Rattus norvegicus: one gene and its partners. The protein of the gene in region 2 interacts with the protein of the main gene of each other region in a pairwise test. Links are inferred from orthologs where the notes say so. Each region holds a gene or a part of one and is shown on either strand. Other genes may lie near its edges. The genes, in order: Sav1, Hax1 and Il1a.

What was found.
Region 1: the proteins of Hax1 (region 2) and Sav1 interact in binary tests that used the Homo sapiens proteins (3 or more experiments, as listed by UniProt). The link is inferred for Rattus norvegicus from reciprocal best matches to the Homo sapiens genes HAX1 and SAV1.
Region 3: the proteins of Hax1 (region 2) and Il1a interact in binary tests that used the Homo sapiens proteins (3 or more experiments, as listed by UniProt). The link is inferred for Rattus norvegicus from reciprocal best matches to the Homo sapiens genes HAX1 and IL1A.

What each region holds. Positions count from the first base shown.
Region 1 is NC_086024.1:94,216,668-94,219,169, reverse strand, and holds part of Sav1 (protein salvador homolog 1), read left to right. Parts: intron 1-417; coding exon 418-561; intron 562-1,827; coding exon of another isoform or gene 1,828-1,898; intron 1,899-2,502. UniProt on the Homo sapiens protein: Regulator of STK3/MST2 and STK4/MST1 in the Hippo signaling pathway which plays a pivotal role in organ size control and tumor suppression by restricting proliferation and promoting apoptosis.
Region 2 is NC_086020.1:177,732,446-177,736,766, reverse strand, and holds the start of Hax1 (HCLS1-associated protein X-1), read left to right. Parts: upstream 1-1,424; 5' UTR 1,425-1,490; coding exon 1,491-1,543; intron 1,544-1,591; exon of another isoform or gene 1,592-1,744; coding exon of another isoform or gene 1,745-1,812; intron 1,813-2,028; coding exon 2,029-2,288; intron 2,289-2,454; coding exon 2,455-2,642; intron 2,643-3,776; coding exon 3,777-3,828; intron 3,829-3,957; coding exon 3,958-4,064; intron 4,065-4,321. UniProt on the Homo sapiens protein: Recruits the Arp2/3 complex to the cell cortex and regulates reorganization of the cortical actin cytoskeleton via its interaction with KCNC3 and the Arp2/3 complex. Slows down the rate of inactivation of KCNC3 channels. Promotes GNA13-mediated cell migration.
Region 3 is NC_086021.1:136,987,170-136,991,306, forward strand, and holds the start of Il1a (interleukin-1 alpha), read right to left. Parts: upstream 2,849-4,137; 5' UTR 2,796-2,848; intron 2,763-2,795; exon of another isoform or gene 2,394-2,762; intron 2,095-2,393; 5' UTR 2,087-2,094; coding exon 2,040-2,086; intron 949-2,039; coding exon 900-948; intron 1-899. UniProt on the Homo sapiens protein: Cytokine constitutively present intracellularly in nearly all resting non-hematopoietic cells that plays an important role in inflammation and bridges the innate and adaptive immune systems.

The DNA of each region.
Region 1 (2,502 bases), on a different chromosome or scaffold from region 2:
CAGCAACAAAGGTAGAGCTGGGATGTGGAGTACAGGGTGACCTTTGGACCGAAGGACTGCACACCATAGGGGAAGAGGGATCAGCAAGGGAGAGGGGGCGCCAAAGTGGGACTTAGGCCCAGGGCTTGAGGCAGGCCACAGTGGGGGCGCCCCAGTCCATCCTCCCTACTCCACCTCTACTTGGGTGTTTATTACTTGCAGCATATCAGCTTCCAAAAGAAGATGGGGTATACTTCCACACAGTTTAGTTTAAAACAAAAAAATCTAGACTTTAATCATGGAACGTTCTGTTAAAGTGGAAGATGGTCAGTTTGTCCAGACAACACATAGAAGATTCTTACAAGTTGCATGGTCATTGTAATTTCTGGCCTGGATAGAGGGCTTCTGTTTTAATAAATGTCAACTCTTTGTTCCCAGTGTGCCTCGGTATGATCAGCCTCCACCCATCACGTATCAGCCACAGCAAACTGAAAGAAATCAGTCTCTCCTGGTCCCTGCAAACCCCTACCATACTGCAGAAATTCCTGACTGGCTTCAGGTTTATGCCCGAGCCCCTGTGAAGTAAGTGAGCACACAGCATGGGTATCTTTGGGGTCTCTAACAAGCTCCACTTAAGTACCGTGCATAGCCAGTGTGGATTAATGGTGGAGATACACCTTTAATCCCAGCATTGGTGGGGTGGAGGGCATGGGGACAGAACACGGATGGGGATGATGACATACAACAGAGGCAGATGGCTCTCTGAGCTAGAGGCCAGCCTGGTCTACAGAACGAGTTCAAGTTTCAGGACAGCCAGGGCTACACAGAGAAACCCCCCCCCCCCCCAAAAAAAAGTGTTGTGGTTTTCTTACAATATTGGGTTTCTATGTAACATTTAAGAAAGGATATCAGGTTATAAAGTTTGTTTAGAAGTAAAAAATTCTTCCAAGATGTTTGTATCCTAATTAATTTATGTACAAACCTCTGGTAATAGATACATGAGAATATCAAATATGACAAGTTTAATTTTTGTTTTCTTTATATTTTTATATGGCATTAACATGTAACATGGTATAGTACTTATAACCAAGAGTACCCAGTTAAGAGCTTAGTACTCTGGTGCAGAACAGTGGGACGGACACTCTGAGATGGAGTTCTTCATTAGGAATTACTAGTGAATTTCAGAGAAGTGATGAGTGAGTAAATGAAGCTTCCTGAGTGACAGCTGTGCTGGGAGACACTTGGGATGTACTGTAACCCCTTCGTGACTGCAGCTCTTGCTCATGAGGAGTGAGCTCTGGTGTGGGGAAGAGAGGGATCCAGGACTCTGCAAGGACGTCAGTCAAGTAACAGAATACACGGGAGTCAAGTAAAGTGCTTGCCTCAGCTCTGCCTGGGACACACATCCAAGACATGGAAGTGTGTGTGGCCCCGGGCAGCCTGGGCAGCCTGGGCAGCCTGCAGGAACTGCTCAGTATGCTTGGCTTGTTTTTTTGTTTTTTTGTTTTTGTTTGTTTGTTTGTTTTGTTTTTTTGGGGAGCCATATATGTTTTTTATATAGATTTGGAATAAAATGGCAAATGAGTTACCAAAGTATCCATTAGATAGGACATAAGTGATTATTAAAATAAGTTCACTAGACATTGTAACGTAGAGCTGCCTTTTATTTCTACCCTGCAGTGGCTTGAGAAATGACCTCAACATCACATAGGTACATAATATACCTCTAGTGACGGGTACTCACCCTAAAACACTGTCATTCTAAAGCTCCTTGGTCATATACCTCTGCCTTCCTGAACTCTTAGTCACTAATAGTTTTACAGGAGATAATTGGGGTTTTTTGTTTAGCTCTCAGAGTTTTTCATCTGTAAACAAGAAAACTGAATTAGACTGTCTCTTGATCTCTTCCCTTTCGAAGTGTGAGTTACTTCCTCGGTTCTGTAGTTCCCCTCATTCTGAGCCATTTAAGCACTGAAGGAGGACTAGAGTCCTTCTAAGACACATAAAATAACCAACATGATGTCACATTGTTGAGTTTTCTTCAGTTTATTTTATTCTCTCATTTTGAGTTTATTCTTCCTTTGGTTCTTAAATTTATTTTTATTTTTAATAATGTGTGTTTGTGCACACATATGTGTAGTGTAGCTTGAATCCAAAAGAGAGCATTTGTGTTTCCTGCAGCTGGAGTCACAGGGAACTGAACTCCAGTCCTTTGCAAGAGTAGTACACGCTCTTAACTTCTGAGCCATCTCTCCAAACCTGTTGCCTTGGTTTTTAATTCTTGCTACTCATCCTCATCCTCAGGCCTACAAATCATGACCCACCTGTCTCTGTTGAAGCTGAACAGTGTTCCTCTCAGGCACCTGTCAGCCCGCTGGCACCGATGCCATAGCGACTTGCCTGCTGTTCTGAATTACCACTTGTGTGCACAGTATGCTCTGAGTGTTCTCAACGTTAACTCTACTTGAATTTATAAAGAGCCAGGATGTGCTTTTTGGAAATTACAGAACCACTATAATCTAG
Region 2 (4,321 bases):
TGGGAATCTAAGCATGATTTAAAGGATTCTGAAATCTGAAGCCAGCATTATCTACTGTCTGGCAGAACCAAATTGTAGGGCTTTTTTCTTTTTGGAGGAGTATAGTAGTTCTTGTCTGAGTTATGTTTTTGAGACAATCTCACTATGTAACCCTGACTGGCTAGAAGTTGTAACCCAACTGGCTGGAAGTTGGTGTGGAGACCAGGCTGGTCTCAAATTCAGAGATCTACCTGCCTCTACCTCTTGAGTGCCAAGGTTAAAGGTTCTCAGCACTATACCTTACCTTGCCTTTTTTATGTGACTTTGAAATGCCTAAGTTTTGGGAAAGGAGTGGATGATGGTAGAGCAAGACCTGGGGTGGGGACATGGTGCAGTAAAAGGTTTTGGACATGGAAAAAAAAGTTTCATTTTTCTTTATAAAAGCCATATTGCCAAGAACTGGGATCCTGTTTCAGCCTTCTAAAACTGCAAGTATCTCTGCGTTGGTGTATGAAGCGGGTGGGGGTCTCTATATTTTGAGTCAGAGCCTCACTGTAGCTCTGGCTTGCCTGAAACTCAGGTGTGTGGAGCAGAGATCCGCCTGCCTCTACCTCCCGAGTGGGTTAGACAAAAACACCGTCAAATTTCATAACGGCACAGTCTTTCCAAGACATGCTTGAGTAGCTTCTCATTCCTGCCTAGTCTACAAATCTTACGTTGCTGGTTGCCATCTGTTTAGTTTTTTAAAAATAGTAGTGTTTGGTGGCAACCTCCTTTAATCCCAGCACTTGGGAGGCATAGGCAGGCGGGTCTCATGAGTTTATAGCCCCCTTGGTCTGCAATTGAGTTCTAGGACAGCCAGAGCTACCTACACACAGGAACCCTGGGTCGGGGGGGGGGTGGGGGGGCGGAAAAAGTTTAAAAACTCCGTACTAGCTGAAGAGATTCCTATCATCTTTATTCAGCAGTAGGGAAGTCGCGGTGTAAGTATCTTGGTAAAACACTTTGCCTAACCTAGTATTAGACGTCACCGACATCATTCTAGAAACAAAACACAAGGTGGGAGGCGTCACCGTCAGTCTAGAAACAAAACACGAGGTGGGATGTGTTTTCTGATCCTGGGGGAAGCAGGCCTCTGAGTGAACAGGCCACTCCCTCTGGCGGCTACCTGAGACCCTCCAGAGAGAAACGGAAACACGTCTTGGGGTCTGGCAGATCGGCAGGAAGAAGAATCACCTAGAAGGGATGTGATCCTTGGACAGTGGGAATTTCGCACGTCCACCCCCACTCAAAACTGAAAGGTAGCGTATAGAAGCTTCGTGTCTGAGGAGCGCCGTCAGCCCCGCCTCTTCCTCCTCCGAGTTACAGCTTTTACGACAGTGCCGCATCGTAGGCTTGCTTTCCGGCAGCGAACGCTAAGCCTTGGCTATATCCGACAGGGTAGCGTAAACTGGTGGTCTCGTGTTGCCCATGGGCTGCAGAGTTTCAAAGTTTCTAGTACCCCTACGGGAATGAGCGTCTTTGATCTTTTCCGAGGCTTTTTCGGCTTCCCTGGACCTCGGAGGTGAGAATAGTCCTGGGCTGGACTTAAGGGAGGGTGTTTTGGTGGACACTTGACCCCTTCATATTTTTGGAAAGTTTCCTTTCCCGCCCCCTTTAACTCTTGCTGAGAGGTCAAAGATCGCATTCTTGAGTACTCACCCGCCACAGTAATCAAAGCGTTGGTTAAGAGGACAGAAACGGCACCTTTCTCCAGACTGGGGTGATGCAACAGGGACCTGAGCGGAGAAAACAATGGGGGTCTGGGAAAGAGGACCGTGAGCAAGTCATTGGGTGATTAGTAGTGGGCAGGATGACCCTGAAGGAACACCATGGGGTGTCGTTTGGGAGCTGTTGGGAGGTGCGGAGAAGCTCTGCTTAGAAACAATTAAAAAACCTAGTAGATCCATCAGCGTTGTTTTAAAACCAGATCTCCTCTTTGGACCGTTTTGCTGCCCTTGGGTTTAGACAGTGTTAAAGTCTTCGTGGTTTATCTGCCTCCATTCTCAGCCACAGAGATCCTTTTTTTGGAGGGATGACTCGAGATGATGACGATGATGAAGACGACGAAGAGGAGGAAGACAGTGGTGCGTGGGGTCGAGAGAGCTATGCGTTTGATGGTTTTCACCCTACAGAGGAATTCGGTTTCAGCTTCAGCCCCAGAGGAGGGATGCGATTCCATGGCAACTTTGGCTTTGATGATCTAGTTCGAGATTTTAATAGCATCTTCAGCGAGATGGGGGCCTGGACCTTGCCTTCCCACTCTCCTGGTGTGTTAATTTCCCTGAGGGAGAGCTGGGTTTCTAGTGGGTTAGTGATGGATAACAGAACTTGCAGAGTAGTTGGTGATGGATAGTGTGCAGAAACTGATTTTAAAAAGATTTAAAATGTTTTAAGGCCTTTCCTATCCCAGAATCACCTACCAACTTTCTACAGAACTTCCAGGTCCTGAGTCAGAAACACCTGGTGTGAGATTGCGAGAGGGGCAGACACTTCGTGACTCAATGCTTAAGTACCCAGATAGTCACCAACCCAGGATCTTTGAGGGGGTCTTGGAGAGTCATGCAAAACCTGAATCCTCCAAACCAGCTCCAGATTGGGGGTCCCAGGGACCTTTTCATAGGGTGAGTACTCTGCACCTGAACTGTAAACCCTTATATATTGGAATCTCTTGGAGTGGAGTTGAAAATTTAGCCCATCTGATTAGTGCATTTATCTGGATTTTATTCCTTATTGGGATTTTTGTTTTGAAACACTTCACTGTGTAGATTTAGAGATCTGCCTGCCTTTGCCTCTGGATTAAATGTGTGCCACCACACCTAGCCTAAACACACACACACACACACACACACACACACACACACACACACACGAGTATTTTGCCTGCTTGAATGTCTCTGTACCATATGTACCTTGTGCCCACAGAGGTCATAAAAGGATATTGTGTCCCTGGAACTCAAGTTATGTATGATTATGAGCCACCATGCTCTTGCTGGGAACTGTGGTCTTCTGCAAGAATGTCTTCTCCCTCTCCTCATATTTTATTTATTTATTTATTTGTTTGTTTGTGTATTTTGAGGCAGGGTCTCTAGTATTGGCTGATGTAGAACTTGCTATGTAGACCATGCTGACCTCACTCAGGGGTCCACCTGCCTCTGAGTTTGTTAGTTAGGGTTCTGTTGCTGTTATTTGTTGTCTTTTAAATTTAGAGTGAGAGAGAGAGTGTGTGTGTGTGTGTGTGTGTGTGTGTGTGTGTACGTGTGTGTACGTGTACGTGTGCACGTGTACGTGTGCACGCATGCCTGTGTGAGTTTGTATTATTGTGTGGGTGCGGGTGCTTGCAATGATGAGGTGTTGAATCCCCTGGAACTCTCAGCTGCTTGATGTCCTAAAAGAGCAGAAGTGTTCTTAATCTGTGAGCCTTCTTCCCAACCCCATTGCTTCTGTTTTCTTTTTGCAGTATTGGAACCTAGAATAGACTATAAAGGGGAAAATGGAAATATTGTGCTTTTTTTTTTTTTTTAATTACTAGTTTCAATTCTTGGTTAAGAAAGAATCTTAAAAGCGCAGGAAAAAATTTCAGGAATTCTTTTTGACTGAAGTCCATATAAACCTGAGGAAGAAGGTGTGTGAACACAAACTACCCAGATAGAAGTATTTCTGGGGTTTTGGAGCTAGTGAGGAATATGGGTTCTCTGACCTGTAAGTTTAAGATTAAAAGGTGTCTTTTCACTGATTGTGTGTGACTTCTTCTACAGTTGGATGATACATGGCCTGTGAGTCCCCATTCTAGAGCCAGAGAGGACAAGGGTGAGTCTAGAGGGAAGCACATTTACCATGCCATTGTCCTGAAGTTCTCTCAGAAGTTTCTTCCTGAAACACTTGTCTAATTTTCTTCCCTCCACTCTATCCTGGCTTGTCATCTTTCTGCCCTTCCAGATCTTGACTCCCAGGTTTCCCAGGAAGGTCTGGGTCCACTTCTTCAACCCCAGCCTAAATCCTATTTCAAAAGCATCTCTGTGACCAAGATCACTAAGCCAGATGGGGTGAGTTGAGAGAGAAGTTTTGGGTTTTTTTGTTTGTTTGTTTTGTTTTGTTTTTGTTTTTTTCTCTTTTCTTTTTTTCGGAGCTGGGGACCGAAGAGAGAGATGTTTTTTAAAAAACTGTCCAGATGGGGTTGGGGATTTAGCTCAGTGGTAGAGCGCTTGCCTAGGAAGCGCAAGGCCCTGGGTTCGGTCCCCAGCTCCGAAAAAAAGAACCAAAAAAAAAAACTGTCCAGATAATGCTCTGGGGAAAGGTACCA
Region 3 (4,137 bases), on a different chromosome or scaffold from region 2:
CCCTGGTAAGTCAGAACCTTCCACTAAGAGGTCTGGCATCTACTTGAGAGTGCTTAAAATATTTTAGAAAATACATTTGGCCCTCTGTTTTGCCTGCCTGCATTCTCAAATTCAACCAGCCTTAAGAGTCAAAATATTTTCTAGAAATAAATGACATCTGTACTGCACATGTGCATTTTTTATTTCCTAAATAATCTAACCATTGCTTCATAAGCATAAGAATTGTTTCCACAGCGTCTGCATTGTGGCAGGTCTGGTTAGGACACTTGGATATGATTTAAAGTCACTTGAGAATGCATGCATACATACTTTATACAAATAGAGGGTCATTTAATATATGGGACTTGAGCATCTGAAGAAGGTGGTCTCCCTTGATTCTAAGCTCCCATGGATGCCTTTGGTATAACTGTTCTTCTGAAAGCAGCTTTTAAAGCTAGTATCACAGACACACAAAATGATATGACCTGGTGTGTGTGTGTGTGTGTGTGTGTGTGTGTGTGTGTGTGTGTGTCTGTGTGTGTAACATTTAATTTCTCCTGGCTAGCCTCCTTTACCTCAGCTCTGTGGGCTATCTGGTTGTCTCTAGCCTTAGGTCTGTTAAGAGACAGACCCAGGTGAGTTGGACTGAAACAACTGGCTAGGGAGAACAAAGTTAATATTTTGAAGGAGCCTGGCCCAGCTCTTAGGGGTTCAGATAGATCTCTATTCCGGAAAAGCAAATGAGTAGGAAGAATGTCAGTTAACTACTGGCATGAAGAGGCAAGTGTCTCATTTATGACAGGGAAACACAAGTGTATACTACTCAATGCTCATTGTGCTTCTCTGGTAGAGGATCTAGAGTGAAAGAAAAGGAAGAAAAAGAGAGCCCAGATCTATAAGAATGCTAATTATGTACTTACCTGATTCAGAGACAGATGGTCAATGGCAGAACTGTATTCTTCATTTTCACTGTCAAAAAAGAATATGAGACTATATTTTGTCCATTATTTTACTGTGGTCAGTGAGTATCATATCTAACTTAACACATTAACTTTGGGTAACACAGACAACATTCCTAAAAACTGATTTAGGCACAGGCACCATTGAATTCAAACGCTCTAACACAGTAATGACTTTTAGTGGATGTCTAAGAGCTAATCCATCCTTAGGAGAACTTGAGTCCTGTTAGGATGAGAGTAAGCTCCACAGTAACTGAGTACATGAACACACACACACACACACACACACACACACACACACACACACACACACACGATCATTACTCTTGGAAAAGTTAAAGACTTCTGTACATTCATGTCTACTATACACATAGTAATTTATTTGTCACTAATTTGAAATTAGTAATTATTAGAACAGCTTTGTGCTTTATAAAAAATCAGGCATGACTAATGAACCAGAGTCTTAACAGAACCTCAGGGAAGACTTAAGGTCTTTAAAAGAAAAGGGTTTGATGCATCACAGGCGTACTTTGTCATACGCTACTTACTTTCATGTCTTCACCAAAACATTTACTGTTTAACATTTTGTAGCTTTATTAGCATTAGCATTAATTGTAAACAACAAGAACATCATATTAGTTAAGAATGTTCTAGAATTTCAACTCTCTGCTCTTTTGTCTTTTGTATCAGGGTAAGGTTTGACGATGAGTGTGAATCCATGTGCCCGAGAGCCGTTACCTCCTTTGACTGGGAACAGGTTCTCTTGAGAATGGATTCTCTCTCAAATAGCTCATTAAAACCCACTGCTGACTCTTTAGAGTGCCTACGTTGATGTTGATATAAAATTATGTCAGATTCAGTATACCTCAAAAATAATTTTCTACAATTTCCGTTTTTTCCTGCCAATGAAATATCCTTTTAGTATGACGGATGCCTGGTCTTTCTAGGTCTTCTCTGTCCTCAGGACTTCAGGGTCAATGTATATCTCCATAGCCTCTGCCAGCCTGTCCCCTGACTGGTCACATTAACTCTTAGTTAATTCGGATTCAAAAGAGTCTTGTGCCCTTCATTGAATCAAAAAAGGAAGACTCCGTTTCTTACCTATAGCAGTTCTTTAGGTCTTCAAACAAGTCAGGAACTTTGGCCATCTTGATTTCTGCAAGAGAACACCAGTGGCTGTCAGCTCAGTCCACCTCTAAACCCTGTGCTTGCAAGGGCAATGACCCTGCTTTGCTCTTCTTGAGAAACTACAGTAGTGACTTATCACATGTTCAGCATTTCCTCTATTCTCCTTCATCCTCCCTTACATTATTTCTGTATGCTTTTATCTTTTCCACTAGCTTGTTTTCAAGAATGTTTTCTCTAACTTGGTATTCTTTGTGTCCAGTCTATCGCCTCACACATAGTAGGCACTTAGTAAAAGTTGAACAGAATAAGGAAAAAAATTAAAATCACCTGAGTGAGGTGTCTGCCTTATATAGAGGCAAGGGAGACACAGAGTGGGAACCTGCTGGTCTCTTTCATTTTTGTCAGGAGAGATGTCCGATCTCCAGAAAATGGTTCAGCTTTGCTGATAGACTCGCTCACGTGAATCTTGTTCAGCTGCTCCCTAAGTTCTCTATCACTAGAAAGAGAATTCTTTTCTGAGCCTCTCACTCCAGCCCCTGCTCTAAATCAGACAAGAGAAGATGAAGAGGAAGAGGAGGAGGAGGAGGAGGAGGAGGAGGAGGAGGAGGAGGAGGAGGAGGGAGGAGAGAAGAAGAGACCATTTTCCTTACGAAAGATGTCTTGAGAGAGGACAGTCGAGGAGCAAACAAAAGACAATTCTCATAGCCTCAGATGGGATAAGGACAATACCTTTGCCGACTCAAGCGCCAATGAGTTGACTCCCTCTGTGCCCTGGAGACTTTAAGTCTGAGTCAGGCTTCTCTCTGTCTTTATAGTCTTCCTCAAGTAGTAGGTGTGGTCATGAGTGTGTGTCATTGGGAATTTACAGGAAACAATTCTGCTTCGTATCTTTCTGTGTTCATTCTTCTTGATACGGGCTAGAAGGACAGATTATACACTGGTAATAATGTTGCTTGCAAAGACTCTGCGGGCTGTTGGCTTGATCTGCCTATTTCTCGCTTGCTCCATGTGACTATAAACATGTAGTCTTACAAAAAGGGAAGAGTGGCAGGAAGCTCACCAATGGAAGAGGAAAGGAGACATCCTCAAATCGGAGCGGGAGTCGGACTAGGACAGGTGCTCCATAGTTGTACTTTGTGTTTTGGTCTAATTTGTTTATTGTGCCCCAGGACTGAATACAGATGGGAGGGATAATTGGCAGCTAAGGCAGGGCATTTGAGGGAAAAATGAGCTCCCCACCCCTCTTTGAAGGGTAAAATTTGCTTGAATAAGTCAGCAGTCCACGTATAAAACAATGGCCTTCTGGTTAAAGGTAAAGGAGGTAAAAGTGACACTGAACATAAAGACCTGGGCCCTCTTACTCCTTTAAACAGTATTAACGCACTTCCTACAGAGACGACAGCTTCAGAGGAGAGTTGTCAGCCCCAGCCACATCATGGTAAAGTAGCTCTGTCCCACTACCTAGTGTCCTTCAGGATAGTTCAGGAGAGAGGATAAGCTGCCCACTTTTGGAGGCAGGGACAAAGTCCCAGCCAGGGGAGTGCCTCAGCCCAGGAGTGGGGGTTGTGGGAGAGGAAGGTATGGATTCTTACACAGATCAGCATTGCCTTTTTATTAGAAACAGTTTCAGTTCCTAGACGCCAGGCCAGTCTAAGAGATAGACTCTCAGCAAAGCAGTGTTTCAGCTTTTCTACTTGGCATTTAAGCCGTGTAACTTTTAAATAAAGGAAGTGGGTGGTAGACAAGGAAAGAAAAAAGTGGCAAAGAGAGAAAAGCAAACCACTGAAACATGGAATAAAAATCAAACCAAACCAAACACAAAACTGTGAGGCTAGGAGTAAAGCAGCTTACGTGAGTTGGATGAACCACGCCCTCTGGCCCTTTTAAATCACAGAGTGGAGCTGTTTAGATGTTCTTTGGTTCTATTGCATATGTAAACTCTCCAGTTCCAATGTGGCTGTCCAGTCTGTCCCTCCTCTTGTTATATTTATAAACAAAATTCAAAGATGAGTGGTATCCTACGTAAGGGAAGGAAGGACAAGCACAGAAGTAGACTGGAGCCAAAGCTTGG